3 linked regions of the Rattus norvegicus genome follow. The protein of the gene in region 1 interacts with the protein of each later gene in a pairwise test. Links are inferred from orthologs where the notes say so. Each region holds a gene or a part of one and is shown in the gene's direction. Other genes may lie near its edges.

The links.
Region 2: the proteins of Trim54 (region 1) and Fam110a interact in binary tests that used the Homo sapiens proteins (3 or more experiments, as listed by UniProt). The two-hybrid records come from large-scale screens. The link is inferred for Rattus norvegicus from reciprocal best matches to the Homo sapiens genes TRIM54 and FAM110A.
Region 3: the proteins of Trim54 (region 1) and Arhgef5 interact in binary tests that used the Homo sapiens proteins (3 or more experiments, as listed by UniProt). The two-hybrid records come from large-scale screens. The link is inferred for Rattus norvegicus from reciprocal best matches to the Homo sapiens genes TRIM54 and ARHGEF5.

The regions. Positions count from the first base shown.
Region 1 is NC_086024.1:30,974,081-30,980,644, reverse strand, and holds the start of Trim54 (tripartite motif-containing protein 54), read left to right. Parts: upstream 1-2,169; 5' UTR 2,170-2,353; coding exon 2,354-2,521; intron 2,522-6,564. UniProt on the Homo sapiens protein: May bind and stabilize microtubules during myotubes formation.
Region 2 is NC_086021.1:160,934,026-160,940,007, reverse strand, and holds the end of Fam110a (protein FAM110A), read left to right. Parts: exon of another isoform or gene 1-262; coding exon of another isoform or gene 263-672; exon of another isoform or gene 673-1,035; intron 1,036-1,152; exon of another isoform or gene 1,153-1,286; intron 1,287-2,041; exon of another isoform or gene 2,042-2,213; intron 2,214-2,300; exon of another isoform or gene 2,301-2,599; coding exon of another isoform or gene 2,600-2,613; intron 2,614-3,662; coding exon of another isoform or gene 3,663-3,738; coding exon 3,739-4,629; 3' UTR 4,630-5,193; downstream 5,194-5,982.
Region 3 is NC_086022.1:73,096,138-73,102,119, forward strand, and holds part of Arhgef5 (Rho guanine nucleotide exchange factor 5), read left to right. Parts: coding exon 1-1,290; intron 1,291-1,820; coding exon 1,821-1,878; intron 1,879-2,407; coding exon 2,408-2,472; intron 2,473-2,678; coding exon 2,679-2,932; intron 2,933-5,771; coding exon 5,772-5,932; intron 5,933-5,982. UniProt on the Homo sapiens protein: Guanine nucleotide exchange factor which activates Rho GTPases. Strongly activates RHOA. Also strongly activates RHOB, weakly activates RHOC and RHOG and shows no effect on RHOD, RHOV, RHOQ or RAC1.

The DNA.
Region 1 (6,564 bases):
CTCCAGTGGGTGCCTGGGTCAGTGTTGGGTAGGCCCATGAGCACTTACCAGTAACTCCACCAAGATCCTGATCACCAAACAAGGTGGCTCCCATCCCAAGAGCTGTTGGACCAATTGATTCTCCTTTGTTGGAACACTGCATACCTTTTAGCACCAGCCTCATTTCTTTGCAACACCTTTGGAAGGCTGGTCTCACCATCTTCTGGCACCTACACCCCTGGCATTGACATCCCACTCGTAAGACAGCTTGGGAAATTTGTGTTTGTGGCTTCCCCTTGGACTTTGGCTGTGGTCCTGTGGACGGGCTGCAGCCCATGCTCCAGTCCTGCTGCCTCTGTCCTTCACGATACTTCACGCAGGGCGATCCTCTTATCTCTTGTTCTTAGCACAGGGACATGAAATGTGACGGGGACAGACCTCGCAGGATATGTCATTTAGCCCCTCTGTGCTTGGCATCCTCTCTGTATCCCTCCTTATCTTTTCTTTCTTACCCATGTGGGGTCACAGCCTAGGAACGAACCGTCAAACCTCTCTGTACTCACTGGGAGAAAGGCTAAAGAATATCAATAATAAAAAAAAAAAAGCTTTGTCCAATTCCGGTGTGTGTGGGATAGAAAGAGACCAATGACTAGCTCTCATGCCTGGGATGAGGCTGGCATGGTGAGTACTGTGGTCACTGTGGAGCTGGGAGTCAATGATGCCCAGAGCCTGATGGTGGTGGCTTTGGCAGTGTCCTATGACCTCTCTGCAGAGCGATTCGCTTGGGTACAAATAACTTTCCAAGATGCAGAATTTTTCCAGTCAGATCCATTTCTCAAAACTTTTTTTTTCTTTTTCTTTATGTGTGTCTGTGTGAGCATCTGCATGCATGTGTCCGTGTAAATGTCTATGTGCACGTGTCTGTGAGCCCATGAAGGGCGCTGAGTCTCTTGGAGTTACTATTACAGATGGGTATGAGTGCTGGGATTTGAACTCCAGTCCTCATGATTGAACAGCAGGCTCTCCCGGTCACTGAGGCATCACCAGTCTATGCTTGTTTCAGGTTTAAGCAAATTTAGCATCCTTGCAATGGACTAATGTAGTTGTGGACCAGAATCACACGCTCTCACGTCATAATCCTAAGGCAGGTCTGGGCCTGGTACAGCAGCCACCTCTTGCCTTTGAGCTGCTCTCCTAGGATGATGCCACAAGGGCGAGCCAAGGGCTGGTGACGTAGCCCAGTTAGCAGAATGCTTCTCCAGCATGCTTGAGACCCCGAGTTGACCCCCAGCACCACATAAATGGGGATAATGGTGCTTTCCCCTCAACCCAGCACATCGGATGTAGAGGCAAGAGGATCAGGAGTTCAAGGTCATCCATGGCGAGAATGAGTTCAAAGCTAGCCTGTCCTACTCAAGAACCTGTCTTTAATAAGGGAGAAGGAAGAGATTGTTCTCTGGGGAAAGCCACTTGTCACCAGTTCTGAGGACCTGAGTTGGATTTCTGGCACATGCTGCAGAAAAAGAATTTTCTTTTGTCCTGTGACTTCCACTTGTGCTCCAGGTTGCACCCACCATTCCCCCTAAGTAAATAAGTGTAGGGTTGCTTTTTTATATAAAGGCTGGGCAAGAACAAATACGGGGCAGACATATGGAACAAGATGTTCTCTCTCTCTCTCTCTGGTCTGCCGTTCCACTTCTGAATCATGGAGGAGGGCCGGGTCACTGGCTAAGCCTGTAGAGGAAGCGATGACGCAGTCTACAGGTCTGTCCAGGTCTTGCCCCCCACCTGGGCCCAGGTATGGCACCTCTCCCACAGGCTAGTTTACACTGCGTTTCTGTTTGGAAGAAGGTCCCAAGCCAGAGCACGGAGACCAGTGTTCGGAGGAGCCTTTTCAGTGACAGCGATAGAGCCCCACACGCCACTGGCCACCCATTCCTGACAGTCATGGCCACTCAGTCTGGGACAGCTGTGTCTCGCCTTACATGAGCTAAATTGGGAACTGGAATGTCACAGCGGTGCCCCTGTGTCCCCACCCCCACAGTAACATTAGTCTCTCTCGGGAGGAACAAACAGTGCTGCCCGCAGAGCGAGCAAGAGGGTGGTTTGGGGAGACAGGAGGAGAATCTCACAGGGAGAGAGAGATAAACTACAAGTGCCTGGTGAGGGTTCCGAGCAGACAGAGTGTCTGGAAATAGCCCAGGGAGAGAGGAGCTGTTAGAGGAAGGGACAGGAAGCACCGCTCTTTCCAGAGGGAGCAATATCAGGGATCCCAAGAATCTACAGTCAGCCTAAACTGACAGCGGAAGGGCGCGCAGGCAGGGGGAGAGAAGGCCAGCAACAGGGCCACAGCAAGGCACCAGAGCACCGCGGGATGAACTTCACGGTGGGTTTCAAGCCGCTGCTGGGGGATGCACACAACATGGACAACCTGGAGAAGCAGCTCATCTGCCCCATCTGCCTGGAGATGTTCTCCAAGCCCGTGGTGATCTTGCCGTGCCAACACAACCTGTGCCGCAAGTGTGCCAACGACGTCTTCCAGGTGGGCTGGGACAGGTGGGGGACGGTGGGGGACAGGTGGGGGTCGGTGGGGGACAGGTGGGGGACAGGTGGGGGATGGTGGGGGACAGGTGGGGGTCGGTGGGGGACAGGTGGGGGACAGGTGGGGGACAAGTGGGGGATGGTGGGGGACGGTGGGGGACGGTGGGAGTCGGTGGGGGACAGGTGGGGGACAGGTGGGGGATGGTGGGGGACAGGTGGGGGGTGGTGGGGGACAGGTGGGGGATGGTGGGGGACAGGTGGGGGATGGTGGGGGACAGGTGGGGGATGGTGGGGGTCGGTGGGGGACGGTGGGGGACAGGTGGGGGACAGGTGGCGGATGGTGGGGGAGAGCCCACCCCTGGGAGCCGGTGAAACTGCCCTGGCTGAGAGGCAGGAGAGTTGAGGGTCCCAGAGTAAGGTCCCAGAGTAAGGTCCCAGAGTCAGCATGAGTCAGCAGCTACCCTGAGGCTGGTAAGCATAACCTGTGTCTACAGCAACTAGAAAGTGGGGTCCACCCAGCACAGCAGAAACTGGAAAGGAAGATCGATGGTCTCGCATGGGCTTAGTGGGAGCTTGGACTAGATTTCATTCATTTTGAGGCTTTTATATGTATATGTATATACATATACATATACAAACACACACACATATGAGAGAGAGAGATAAATTTTTTTAAACAAACTCTGGAGAAAAGATCAAGGATATATTGAGATCTTTCTCTCTCTCTCTCTCTCTCTCTCTCTCTCTGTGTGTGTGTGTGTGTGTGTGTGTGTGTGTGTGTTAGCTAGTGTGGCTACCAGACCTCAACTTGAGTTTGATTCCCAAAACATAAATGATGGAAAGAGAGAACTGACTCACAAAAGTTGACCTCTGACCTTCACTTATATGAACACAGACAGACAGGCGCACACACACACACACACACACACACACACACACACACTTTAAACAATAACCTGGTGTGGTGGTGTATGTATGCCTGTAATTCGAGCACTTGGGAGGCTAAAACAAGGGGATTGTCATTGTTTGGTTTTGTTTCTGAGTCAGGGTCTCTGTAACCCTGGCGGCTGTCCTGAAGCTCACTATTCAAACCGGGCTGACCTTGAACTCACAGAAGATCCTCTTGCCTCTGCCTCTCTCGTACTGGGATTAGAGACATCGCTGCCATGCTAGCAAGTGTCACCTTATTTACATAGTGAATTCTGATCCAACTTGGGCAACAAAACAAGACCGTTTCAAAAAGTAAATAAGAAAGAGAAAACTAAAATTAAAAATTGTTGGGGCTGGGGATTTAGCTCAGTGGTAGAGCGCTTACCTAGCAAGCACAAGGCCCTGGGTTCAGTCCCCAGCTCCGAAAAAAAGAACCAAAAAAAAAAAAAAAAATTGTTGGTAAACCGGTGAGAAATCCTTCCATACCAACAGAACTGTGTGTATTTGAGGCAGAGCCCTCTGTCCCTGAGGGGTCTGATAAGACACAGTGGGCCACAGCAGGAACATTCTCTCCAGTTTCACACCGGTGATCCTTCCTGACCTAGTAGGAGATAAATGGTATCCAGGCGACTTACAGACAGACAGACAGACAGACAGACAGACGGCAGAAACAAAATTGTACTTCCCAGAAATGCCTGGGTGTCTGTGGTCATGAGGCCAAGCATAACTAGGTGAAGTCACAGCACTATTTTATCTACACATCTCCAACGCAAAAACAGAAGAGCTGAGCACGGCTGCAAACCCAGCCCTTGGGAGGTTAAGGCTGGCTTGGGCTGCATAAGACGCTGTCTAGCCAACTAACTAACCAACTAACTAACTAACCAACTAACTAACTAACCAACTAACTAATCAACTAACTAACCAACCAACCAACTAACCAACCAACTGACTAACTAACTAACCAACTAACTAACCAACTGACTGACTAACTAACCAACTAACTAACTAACCAACTAACTAAATAAATAAACCAGAGTCCTTTATAAGTTCCTAGGCTTGCCTCCTGGCTCTGTGTCTTGGTAGAGGTCTGAGTAGTTTATGACTGCATCAGAGGTCAGGGAGAATGAAGGAACAGAACTCACATGTACAGACACCGGACCTCACAGATGAAGTAACCTGGATTCCTCAGAGCTGGCTCTCCTGGTGGGCAATCTGTGATGGGAACACCAGGAATACACTTCTTGCCAGGAGCCAGCCTGGGATCCAGCGAGGAAGGAGCACCACAGGCTGGAGGCTAGCCTGCTCTATGTAGCAAGTATACCTGTATACCTGTAGAGTAAGACCCGTCTCAAAAGAGGAAAAGATAACTGTCTGGGGCTGAAGAGAGGACTCGGTGGTCAAGAGCATTTGTTGCTCTCCCAACCAACCCAAGTCCAGTTCCCAGCATCCACGTGGTGGCTCGCAACCATCTGTAACTCCAGTTCCAGGGGCTCTGATGCCCCCTTCTGACCCCCATGGACACCATGCATGCAGGCAAAATACATACACACAACATAAATCTTTAAAGTAGAAGAGTAAGAGTTCTCCCTCCTTATCACAGTGTGAGGAAATGAGTTGAGCACAGATTCCCCTCCCCCCTCTTCCTTCCTCTGGTGCTGTGGTTAACCAGGGCCTTGTGTGCATGCATCCTGCCACTGACCTATACCACAAGCCCCATACAGGCTATTGTTTTTAAATATTTATTTGCCATCCATATGTGTGCACATGCCTGTGCATACAGGTGCCCATGGAAGCCAGAAGAGTGTCTTAGGTGCCCTGGGGCTGGAGTTGTAGGTGTTTGTGAGCGATTATGTAGGTATTGGGAACCAGACTCTAGCCCTCTGAAAGAGCAGCGTGTGCTAGCAACTGCCAGGCTGCCTCTCCCACCTCCTCAGTGGATCTTAGCTTCACTGAGATTAGGCCTCCAGGTTTCTTGGTACAGCATATTTGAAGGCAACGATTGGGCTAAGTTAGGACATCATAGCATGTGTGTATGCCCCATCTGTCTTCTGCTCCTTCACTGAGTAGCCAACACCCCAGAATTTCTCCTTCCATTGTCCTCTTCAGGGTTCCTTTTATTCTGAGCATCTAAACTTGCTATTGTTTGGGACTAGAGGCCTGGATTTCTCTGTCTTGGGGCCTAGATTGCATGTTGTTCTGACCCTGTCTCAAACCAACAAATAAAACACAAATTTCTTGCCACCTGTGGTGGTGTACTCCTGTAATCCTAGTATCCAGGAGGCTGAAGCAGCAGGATTGTCACGAGTTCGAGGCCAGCCTGTGCTGCATAGCTAGTTCTGTGTAAGTGGCTATGCCTCCCCATGGCTCACGTTGGGAGGAATAAGTTTTCTCCCTCCACTCTGTGGAAGGCGGGGATTGAACCTCAGGTCGTCAGGCTTGGCGACAGGCACCTTTACCCACTGAGCTGTCTCCCTGGCCCTGAGGTATCTCGCTATTAGAAGCCAAAATATGTGAAGCCAAAGAGAAGTTTAGAAAACTAAGAAAAGTATTCTGTAAAAAGTAGCCCAGAGCTGGACATGGCAGCACATGCCTTTAACCCCTGCACTCAAGAGTCAGAGACAGGTGGGTCTATTCCAAGTTCCAGGCCAGTCAAGACTCTGTAGCGAGACCCTGTCTAACAAACAAACTCGAGAATGTTGACTTGAGAATAATAAAGTTTGTAGCACAGACTACGAATAGCCTTCCTTCTTCCAGGCACAATATCAAAGCTCTAGAAAGCGTATCTGGGCCCAGAGAGATCTAGGAAGATTTGGGGACAAAATCTGTGCAGGAGCAGGTGCAGTAGCACACACTTGTTGGTGCCGCTCAGGAGGCTGAGGTGAGAAAGATCACTTGAGCCTGTGAGTTTTGAGTCCCATATTGAGGACAAGGAGCCAGGAGTTAACGGAGGACTCGCCTGGTTCACACAGAGCCCTGCACCAAGCAAACCAAGTGTGCTAGCTCACGCCTATAAACCCAGACTCGGGAGGTGGAGGCATGGTGAGTTTGAGGCCAGCCTGGGCTACATGAAACCCTGTAGGCCCTCAAGGTTCTATGATGGTTCTGTAATCTGGA
Region 2 (5,982 bases), on another chromosome or scaffold:
TTATCCTCCCAGCTGGCACAAATCTGCAGTCAACCTCAAGCCTTGAGAGCTCATGGTGGGCTGTCCCCCAAGGTCCCACTCTTGTTCATGGGACTGTGACCCAGCCACCTGCGGGCACACAGGAGAAAAGGGTGTCATTTTAGGAGTGGTGGGAGGGAAAGTGGCCAGGTTGGACCTCCCAGGCCCCATCCCCCAAACCCCTTCGTCAACTTTAGGAAAGTGACTCAGCCTGGCCTGACTGGGGTTTCCATTAGTCAGCTTGATGACAATGGAGTTGCCTCATAGGAAGCCTACCCAGACCACACTAATGCTCACTGCACCTCGTTTAATCACGGAAAGATTAAAAGCCCAGAAAGAGCACTTTCCCGTGCCTGGCCGGGGACATCAGAGAGAACCCAGCCCAATTCCATCAGCTGTGTTGCCGGCTGTACAGGCTCCAAGTCGCATAAGAGCCCGGCTGGGTGAGCCTGGGGGCGCTATTCCGGCTAGGTTTCCACACCGGGCTGTCTGTCGCCCATTTCGGTCACTGCCTGGCCCTCCTTCCCTCTCCTGGAACACTCCCAGCCGGCAGGTTCACCTGCCAGGCCCCGGAAATTGCGCAAAAGCCAGCTACCTGAACCAGGTGGGCGGGAGGCGTGCAGGCTGCTGGAAGGAGGCGGCTTGCACAGCCAGGTATGTTGCGGTGCTTGGGGGTGAGGGGCACATCAGGGATTGTCTTCAGTCTGTATTCGAGCCGAGGGCCGACTCCTGCTCAGAGAGAGATAGCAGATGAGGGGAGGGGGGTCACACAGTCTTAGCTCAGCTCAAGCCTCACCGCCTGAGTCTCCAGGATTGCCTCCAAGTGAGGACGACTCGAAACCAAAACTAGGGGCTTTCCTGGAGCCCTGATCTACTTACTCCTTGGGAGCCTGAGGGAGGGACGAAGTCGGGCTACGGCACTGGAATAGTGACCAGAAAGGCTCAAGGTTGGTGCTTTTCGGACCATTTGCGGCAGCATTTGGAAGCCCGCGGTGAAAAGAGACCTCAAGGGAGACGTTAAATCTCATTTGGCGACCGGGATCTTAGTTTCCTCTTGGAGGGGCCCCTGTGACGTGTGTTGGTGCGGATCGGCTGGCTCATTGTGATTAGCTCTTACCAGCTGTCTCCTTTGTCCCTGCTGGGCTTAGGTCCTGCCCTCCAGGATCGGACTTAGAGACCCTCGGAGGGGGCGGAGTCTGCCAACTCCACAGTCAGAGCCTCAGTTTATGACAGTGCGTCTGGTTTCGGGAGCGCTGCCCATTTTTCAGGTGCTGCGAACCCGTTTGATCTTTCCAGCGGTGACCCGAAGGCACAGGGAGGTCTATTTTTAACTGGGTTTAATAGGTAGAGGAACAGTCTTTTAAGAGCTGCCTCTTGTGCGAGGTGCAAGGCTGGTGGGAGAACGGGGACCCTGGTGTCTACCAGACCAGGCTTGGGAACACAATCTGCCTCCCCCCCATTTCTTTGTAGTGTTAGGTGGTGGGTATAAAAGCAAGGTGCTGGTGGGGGGAGCTTCTGCCCTAGCCCTGCCCCTCTGACCTCCTTCCTCTTTCCCAGGTGATGTCGGGGAGGGAACTGCCTCAGCCACCACCAACGGGTTGGACTGGTTTGGGTGGCAGAGCAGATGTGGGGGCTAGGGAGGTGAGGCAGGATCTGGCTACCTGAACAGGACTCTTAACAGTTCTGCTGGCTAGACCTAAACCACTTAAGGTCAGTTGAGGGTCTGTTTGTGTGGGCCAGCCTTCTTTTTCTGCCCAACAACCTCTTAAGCCTTGGGAGAAGCCTTCCTCCTATCCCCCAAAACTTCCGTGGGGGCTGGGGAGAGCAGATAGATCTGTAGACATACTATGCTTGCCCTGTACTACTTGTCGTTTTAAAATGGTGATGGAATTTGCTCACAGTTAAAAACCTAGAGAAAGCTAGTCTTGGTTTGCTGGTGCTAGTGACACTCCACCCCTCACCCTGGACCTATCCGCCTGTGGTGGGCGGGGCCACTCTAGTTGACTGGTGTGCTGGTCCTCAGCTGACTCCCGTGAGCATTTTAGTTCAGGACACACTTGTGGAATATCTAGCATGTGTTGAGAGCCACATCATGAAGCTGAGACTCAGTGAACAAAGCAGCCAAAACCTGTGCCCTCGTGGAGCTGACATTTTTGGAGTTGGGGACAGCAAAGAAAGAAAGATTCATATCCACAGTAAGTTATATGGTACCAATGGATATAGTGAGACGAGATATAGGGTGTGTGTGTGTGTGTCTGTCTGTCTGTCTGTCTGTGTGGTACGTGGAGAAGTGATGTGGTAGGAATTAGTGTGTTCAAGCTAGGCTTCATGGGAGTCTGCTTTTTAAATCTCTGTGACCTAAGGAAGTCACTTCCCAGAGTCTCAGTTTTCCCAGCTACAAAATGGTAACAGTGGCTTTCAGGCTCTTGGAGGTGGTAGGAAAGTAGCTGTGAGCGTCTGGCACACAGGCACACAGTGGAGAGCGTTGTCTTGAGATGTCTGGCTGTTCCGGTGAGGCTCTTCTGTGTTTGGGCATGCTCTGGCCCAGTCTGTCTGGTATAGTACCACGTCCCATGTGACCATGGAGAACTTGAGGTATGGCTAGTGGCTGCTGAGTGATCTCAACTGCAGATGCCCTTGGTTTGGAATATGGGTTTTACCTTGTGCATATTTGAGGGGCCTTGGGTATGGGGAAACTGGCACTTTCTGACCCTCTTTCCTTGGAAACAGAGATGGCAGGGTTGACTTGCTGTAATGGTCTAACATCTGACTCTTAGATAACCATGGGGACACTTGAGCACCCAGACATGGGCCCTGCAGCCCATGAGCACTGTCATGGTGGTTGGTCAGCAGCATAACACTTGGTGGGGCTGTGACCTGGATAGGTCTTTGCACCGGCATAGCTTGGGGCTGATGTTTATGCCTGTCCACATGCCTGGATCTCCATGGGCTTGGCCTTGAAGCCATATCTTGGAAACTACCCTAATCTGGACTCTACGGGGTGGGGGTGGGGCCTTTCTGCCTCTCTCTCTCACAGCCTTTTGTTTTTGTGCCCCTTGTGGGCCTGGCATGTCCAGGCAGGTGGTTGGCACTGCGCAGCTTCCTGCCTGGGCTAGTTGCGGGATGTTGGTGGTATCTGGATCTCTGTGCAGTTCAGGTGGGATGTGGATGATGGTCATTCAACCCCAACTGCCCGGTCGCTAGTAGCCCCCTCTCTTGGAAGTAAGGGGTGGCTTAAGCAAACCCATTGCCCCTCGAGCTTCAGTTTCCCAACCCCTAAATGGAGCCATTGAGAGGACCCCCTTTTTTTTCTTTTCTTTTTTTCGGAGCTGGGGACCGAACCCAGGGCCTTGCACTTCCTAGGCAAGCGCTCTACCACTGAGCTAAATCCCCAACCGAGAGGACCCTTTTTAAAGTGGACCTGGCTTCTCTACCACTTTTCTCTCCCTCAGCTGTGCGGGTCCCGCCCACTATTGGAGGGAAATGCCGTGGGTGGGGCCATAGGCCTTCCCGGAGTACATTTTGCCTGGTGATTGGCTCTGTGAGAGGCAGGGGCGTGTCCTTTACCTTATAATAGCTCAGGCTTCGCCGCCAGTGAGCCTTTGTCTGAACGTGCTCAGCCTGTCTTCTTTCGTTGCTTGCAGCGGAGCCCCGTATCCAGCTGCCAACTTTGTGCCTGTATCTGTCTTCTCGCCTCTGCCCTCGGGGTATGTAACGGCCATGCCCGTGGACACGCTGAGCCCGGGAGCCCCCACCACTCCCGCTTTACCTTTTCGCCTGCGAACCAAGGTCCCCGGCTACCTGCTACCAAGGCCAGCAGATGGGGGAGCCAGGAAACCGAGTGCTGTGGAACGCCTGGAGGCTGATAAGGCTAAGTACGTCAAGAGCCTGCGCGTGGCCAACACCCGCCAAGAACCTGTGCAGCCCCCGCTCGCCAGGCAGCCCCTCTTCAGCCCAGGTTCTCGCGGCCCAGTGCTCACACCCAGTCGCCGAGTCCTGCCCTGTTCTGGTCGCCGGCCCCAACTGGACCTAGACATCCTTAGCAGCCTAATCAACCTGTGTGATAGTCCCGTGTCCCCATCTGAGGCCAACCGAACACCTGGACGGCCAGAAGGATCTGCCCACAAGGTCCCACCAGCCACCCCTCCTCGTCCGCCTCCTAGTACTGTCGCTGTGCGCCGAGTGGATGTTCGTCCCCTGCCTGCTTCACCAGCTCGCCCCTATCCATCACCTGGCGCCGCTACCACTTCCAGCCCGGGCCGGCCCCCTGGTCTGCAACGCTCCAAGTCGGACCTGAGTGAGCGCTTTTCCAGGGCAGCAGCCGATCTTGAGCGCTTTTTTAACTTCTGCGGCTTGGACCCAGAGGAAGCACGAGGATTGGGGGTGGCCCACCTGGCAAGGGCTAGCTCGGACATCGTGTCGCTAGCCGGGCCAAGTGCTGGACCTTGCAGCTCTGAAGGGGGCTGCTCACGCCGCAGCTCTGCTACAGTGGAAGAGCGGACCCTAGAGCGGGTCCCCTATGGGGTGTCTGTGATCGAGCGAAATGCCCGTGTGATCAAGTGGCTGTATGGGTTGCGGCAGGCACGCGACCCTCCCACCACAGAGGGCTAGGCCTCCTGGACTCAGGCCTCCTGGAAGGACATCATGAAGAGACAGTTGGCACTTTGTCCTTTCCTGTATCCATTGGCTGCCTTCCTGCAGACCCAGAGACCCTTGGGTGAATTTAGTGTAGAGGCCAAGACTTAGACCTAGACCAGCATCCTCTGGCAAGCAAGGACTGACCTGCAGAGGTTTGCTGTTGCCCTTGGCCTCCCCCACCCCCTAACAAGGTTTGTGACACAAGTATGCTTCTGCGTGGTTCCTCGGGTGAGACTGGATTTGGGCTGCTTACTCTCCACTGAGTTGGGAATCAATTGCTTTGCCAAGTCTGTCTGCCCCAGACCCTATTTCCTTCTTCCCTGTCTGTCCTCTTTTGCTGACTTCCTCTTCCTTACCCAAAGGGCCCTGGCTTCCTGGGAACTCACCCTGGGGAGGAGGTTGAAAGGATGGGGCCTGTCTGCTGCTCTTCCTGGTCTTTGGCAGTTGGCCTAGGTGGGTAGACTATAGGAGGGATTGGTTAGGAGCCTGACGCTCTGAATTATCTGTGGCTAATAAACACAAATGTTTGTTTCTCAAGGTCGGGAGCTTCGGACTCTTCTCTGTTCACAGGGGAAGAAGTGTGGGAAGTCTTGGGGTAGGGCCTTCAGAATGGAACGATTTTTGAACTAAGATCTGGTATGCAGGAGGTCAGTGACTCTTCTAAGGCAGTGCAGGCAGGCCACACCTGGGACCTCCCAGTAGCACATCCTCACCTTCTCCAGAAGCCTGCAGGCTCTTCTGTAGGTGAGGAGGCAGCCAGCCAGTGAGTGGAACCAGAGCTGAGAGTGGTTTCTTTCTGAAAGGAAGGGACTTTCAGAGAAAGGCATCCCCAGCCAAGGGATGCCCACAAGAGAAGACCCTGACTCTCAGTTACCAGGCCCCAGAGTAGGGTCTGGAGCTGAGAGGGACTTAGGCAAGAACAGCCCAGAGTGGTGGCCTTGCCTGTGACCCCAGGTGACCCTGGACAGGCCAGTCTTGTTTCTGTGCCTCAGTGGAGAGCTAGGTGGTACAAGTCTCTTGGGGTTGGGACCTTGTATTCCGGAAGGTTTGAAATGATCCGTATCCCAGTGCTTGGGCCAGCAGAGCAGCTAAGCACGGATGCTGTGGCCTCCCTTCTGTCTGCTCTCCCTGTTTAGTTTTCCCCAGTGTAGTGGAGCAACAAGGCTCCCTGGGTTCACAAAGGGTGACCTGGGGGATGGCTTGACTGCCTCCCCCCAGGGGAGGGGTCCTTGGTAGTGTTTCCTCCCTGCAGGCTGCCTTGGCTCCAGTCTTCAGAAACAGGAAACATGGGAGGTGGGTGGTGGTGACAGGTTTGATGCTGGTTTT
Region 3 (5,982 bases), on another chromosome or scaffold:
CTATGGGAATGTCACTCTCTTTCTCTCATTTGGAATTACCTCAGAGGCCCCCCAAAACAGCCATCTATGGCTCTCTGATCCCAAGAAGAAACAGAAGAAGTAGGGATGGTGTCGTCTTTTCAGAATCCTCTGCTGCTTTATTTGCTTTGAAACAGGACTCTGAAGAATTCACGTCAAATCCAGAGAGTTCCAGCAATCCTCATGGTAGTCAACCATGGGGCTCCCCACAGAACTCAGCCTTTGCCATAGGCTCTCCTGTGAATGTTTCTTCTCCACCCACTGTTTCCATGGATATGATACATGAAGCTTTGCCCCCTCCTCCCCCAGAGAAGAGACATAGCTACAGTCACATAGTGGAAAGAGATGGCCTTTTTCATGAAGTAGCTGCCACACTGAAGCGGCATAGTCATCCTCCTCCATTGACCCTAAGTTCAGGGCTCCATAGGTCTCCTAAAGGCTCATTTTCCCTAGTTCCTGACTCTGTTGTTGCAAGGCAGCACCGCCCTCTGCCATCCACCCCAGAAGGCTCCCACCATACTCAGACCTCCATCCCCTCCAGGCTGAGATACAACAAACCATTACCCCCAACTCCTGATATGCCTGAGCCCTGCCATTCATCCATCTCTTCCTCTAATATCTCAAGGATATACAGGCCTCTACCCCCAGTCCCTATCACAGATCCTTCCTCTGAACCACCCCCATTACCCCCAAAGTCCAGGGAAAGAAGCAGGAGTGTCCAGGTAGGAGTTATGCATTCAATGGGTCAAGCCAACCCAAGAACTACTGGTCAAGATTGGACAGTTTCTACTCTCTCTGTTGGACGGACCTCCTGGCCCCCAGCCACAGGCAGATCAACAGAATCTTTGCCTCCCACCAGTAGGTGTAATAGTGAAGTGTCCCCTGGTCTGGCTTTCAGCAACATGACAAACCTTCTAAGTCCCTCTTCCCCTACTACTCCTTGGAGCCCAGAGCTTCAGATACCCACCAGTAAGGATGAGTCAGGGCTCACTGAAGAGTCTGCACCTCCAGTGAGAGGATCATTTAGGAGGCCAGCCCTTCAGGAGGAATTTAATAATACAAGGAGATCAGCTTTAGGATCAAGAAAGAAGTCAGAAAAACCTATCCACTACCAACTGGAAAAGGCATCCAGCTGGCCTCACAGACGGGATACAGCAAGGACATCAGAGAGTAGCAGTGAACAGGTTGTCCTGGGCCAGGCACCCAACAAGCAAAAGGGCTGGAACCGGCAGGGCCTTCGTAGACCTTCAATTTTGCCTGAGAGCTCTTCAGGTAAGTCAGGAGCAGAGACAACAGAACCATTAATGTTATACAAAGCTTTTTATTCTAAATCTTCCATCTGAGGGATCTCTACTGCTCTCTCTGCAGCGTCATTCCCCTGCATCACATAGTCAACTCAGAAACTCACGACCCACTATGATCCCATTAGAATGTTCCCCCTCATTTTTTACTTTTCCGTCTCCTATTTCCCCTGAAGTCCACCTCTTCCTGAAGTTGCTAGACTCCCTCCATTGCTATACCATCACGTTCTCCCCTTTGAAAATCTTAAAGTGCCCTTTCTTTGTGCTTTTCCTATCTTGCATGAAGACTGGGGAGCATAGCTAATATATCTTCTGGAATTCCTATCCCGACATGAGGACCAGTGACGCATGGGTACTGGGTACTGGGCTTTAGAATATCTTTGGTATTGTCTTCTCTTTCAGATTCCAGTAGAACTCTCTTTCCTTTGCTTAGCTGTGTCTCCTGTTCATCCTTTCACCTACTCTAAATGTCCCTGTTGTGCTGCCCATTTCACCTTTCAGATTTACGAAATCCAGCTGCGGGGAGACTTCCTGGCTCTTCAGATTCTGTTGTTTTCCGGTGAGTTGCCCTGTCTTCTCGCTAACTCAACTGTACTGTCTTCATTTATGACACTAAGATTTCCTTACTAAGAATTCTGTGGACAAAGATTCTGGGACCCAGAATTGTTGGTGCTTCTATGTCCAGAAGGTAAGGAGAGGAGGAAAGAGGCATCAGGATTGCAGGGAAGGAAGGCGTTTGTACCTGCCCAGTTCTGCCTGCTGTGTCTGATGAGTTACCTGTTGTCTTCCTAAGGCATATGGTTATCCATCAGTCTCCTTCACATACTATCCAAATGACCCCTGAGTTACAAAGTAGAGTTACTGTTTGAGATACCCTACTGCATTTCTAAGTTCTCGCCAAGTCCTCAGGGTCTCTCATGGACTGTGGGATAAGGGAGAAGGGTTGAATGGAAGGACCAGTGATGGGGACAGACTGAAGTAGCTTTCCTTCAGCACGTGTATGGAAGGTTAGAGTTTTTAATCTAAAGTCACTTGGGGGTCTGCTGTCTCACAGTCAGTAAATATCTCAAAGCCTGCCTATTCCACAGGGAGAAGAAACCAAAGGAGGGGATGGGAGGTTTTTCAAGACGTTGCTCCAAGCTCATCAACTCCTGTGAGTACTTTAAAACAGATCTATAGACTAGTGTGTGCTTTCTGCCTAAAATGGGTCAGGGCCTCACGACTGCCAGCAATTGAATGGTGGTATACAGAGAAAAGGGTTGCTAGAGGTCAGCCATAGATGGCAGTGTCTGGCAGTGAGCTTCTACTCACTTCGTTTTCTTAGGATTTTCTCCTTTTCTTATTCATCTTCACCCATAGCTCAGCTGCTTTATCAGGAGTATAGTGATGTTGTTCTCAACAAGGAGATTCAGAGCCAGCAGCGGCTAGACAGCCTGGCCGAGCCACCTGGGATCTCTTCCCCACGATATCGGCGAAAGGCACTGGTCTCTTCAGACTCCTACCTACAGCGCCTCTCCATGGCCTCCAGTGGCTCCCTCTGGCAGGAAATCCCTGTGGTGCGCAATAGCACAGTGCTGCTCTCCATGACCCACGAAGATCAAAAACTGCAAGAGGTACCACCAGGGATGCGCAAGGGAAAGTTGGGGAAACAAAGTCATATTCACTTATGTTTTATCTCCTCCTCACCTCTGCCACCATGAACAGGCTGTCCCCACCCCACACTCACCTGTTTACACAGTGACTGCTCACTGCCATGCTGAAGAAGTGTAGTGCCCTAGAATTTCAGCATAGTCCTTCTTCCCCTGCTCGTGCATGTGCCATCTACTCTTTCCTGTCCTGGCTTGGACTCATACAGAGTGACCATGCCTGTTGAGAGGGGTGTGAGAGTAACTTCATTGCTGATAATCTCCTTTCCACATCTACAATGTTTCAGACAAGCCACATGTTCATTTGTGCTGGCTCCTTTGAAGAGGACAAACTGGAAGTTGTCCTTTGGTTCTTGGATCTCACTTAGGCTTTATCCCTGCTTGGTCATCCCCAGGATTAAGATTTCAGGAGACACTGCTTCTCTGGTTCTAAGCAGTGACCATTAGTAAGTTTTTCATGGGCAGATTCTGCCTTCATATTTGTCTGAAGGAAGAGGTAGAACTTTTCATCCCAGGAGAAAAGAGGGCACAGTGGGATAGAGTAATATCTAAGTAATTGGGTTCTATAACAATGATGGAGACATGATGCCTTTGTTAATATGTGTTGTTTGACTTTGGCCAAATCACTTGCTGTCTCCAAGCCATTTGTAAGACAGATACAAAGAGTTACTAGGAGAACAAGAAAGATAAATGTTTACTTCAGAACAGTCAGTCGGAAAATATTGACTATTTGAATTTAAACGATGTAGGCCTAGCTTCAACTAGTGAGATAATCTTGGATAAGCTATAATTTCACTACAAGTTTTAAAATACAGCTGTTTAGAAAATCACTAACCTGTCCTATATTTATTGATCAAATAATGGAAAGATGAAATGAGATCTCTGAGTCTTCATCGAGCTAGGAAGTCACAAGGACCCTGATTCTAGCCCCGATCCCTCTTGACTTTGCAAGAAGAGAGACCTCTGTCTTACCACCTCATACATACATATTAAGTTAATAAAATAGCATCTTGGGAATCTACAGAGTTCCTTCACAGACTCTATTCCTTTTGAAAATCGTGTTTTCTGAAGTGTGTTTGTGGTGGTGGGGTAGTCACCCTATCTATATAAAAAGACAAAACAACAACACAGAGATCCCAAGTTTCAGAAGGTTAAATGGGCTACTTTAAGCCATGTGGTGTTTGATGGTTACGTTGTGAATAAGCCTGCAGTAGCATGGTTTAGGGTTGTATAGAAAGTTCAGCTGTTGGACTGAACAAGGGGACCCCAATGGAGGAGTTAGAGAAAGGACTGAAGGAGCTGAAGGAGTTTGCAACACCATAGGAAGAACAACATCAACCAACCAGACCCCATCAGAGTTCTCAGGGACTAAACCACCAACCAATGAGTACACATGGAGGGACCCATGGCTCCAGCCGCCTATGCAGCAGAGGATGGCACTGTCCACCATCAATGTGAGGAAAAGCCCTTGGTCCTGTGAAGTTTCGTTTCCCCAATGTAGGGTAGTGCCAGGCATTGAGGTTGGGTGGGTGGGTGGGAGTGGGAGCATCCTTAGAGAAGCAGGAAGAGGGGTATGGGAGGGGGAGGGGATAACATTTGAAATGTAAATACATAAAATATTCAAGAAAAGTAAAATTAAAAAAAGAAAGTCAAGCTGTATAGCTGGCTATTTCATCGACCAGCAAGGGACGCCTATTTTACTTTTCTCCGAGTGGCCTGAGTGACCATGCTGAGAAGGAAAAGAGGTCCACTGGTCACGTCTGTGAGTCACTGCGCCCCCTGCTGGAGCCTCCGTGCACATTCTTAAGTGCTGACTCCCTTCTAAACCACAACTGTAGCATCCTCTTTGACATATCCCGTTTCTTTTTATTCCCATCTCTCCTCAGACATCAAATTGAGCTTGTCACCTTCCTCTGTCCCTGACTCAGAGCTCTCTGGCTTAGTCCATGATTCCATCATCTAACCCAACCCATTGCCTAATCAAAAGTAGGGTGTTGGCCTCTGCTCCTTCTCTTTACGCCCCACTTCTAGCAAATAAGCAGCATCTTCCAAGTCCTGTTTGATGACTCGAGAAACCCACTTCTCCACAGGCGTATGAGTGACAGGCCTTCGTCTCCCATCGAGACATGTTACCCCACTTCCCAGCATGGCGCTTACCTATTCTGGACTTTTCCACAGGTTGCTAAAAGGTGTTCTCATTCAAAAACAAAACAAAACAAAACAAACCCAAAAAGTGACTCAGCTAGATGAACGATTCTACCTTTTCACATCTCGTTAAGCTTACGTGCTGCATTGTTTACATGGTCCACCAGGCCTCATGCCTCGTTCCTACTCCTCCCCCTCACTCTACCCCCCAACCCCCAGCTTCATTTTTATTTTTTCTTTTCTTTTTCTTTTTTAAATAAAAGTTCTAGAAATGCTCAACTTATTTGTTACTTTTCTAAAAGTAAACTTCATTGTGTTTGAAATATTAGCTACTTATTATGAGTCTCTTTGTTGGTAAAATTGTTACTATCATATGGTATATTAATATACCTGTGATATCATAGAGTTATTTATGTATGGGTATGAATGTATCTTTAAGTTTCTTGAAAACATAAAGGCTCTGTTCATGTTATTCAGCCCCTGATTGACTCTGTCATATTCAAATACTCCTTGTACCCCTCCCAGACTAAGTTTTATTACTGTGAGTGATCAAAAGATGTAGCTAATTCAGTGCTCAACCCTAAAACATTGTTCAGCAACTTCCATCTACCAGACACTTCATAAAAGTATTCCTTAATCTTCCTCTTTTCCAATTGTCTAGGCCAAGTTTGAGCTGATTGTGTCCGAGGCATCTTACCTGCGCAGTCTAAACATAGCAGTAGACCATTTCCAACACTCAACCCAGCTGCGGGCCACCCTGTCCAACCAGGATCATCAATGGCTCTTCTCTCGTTTGCAGGATGTACGAGATGTCAGCACCACGTGAGACTTCTTCCAAACTCCAATCTATCAACCTTGCTATTCTTAGCCAT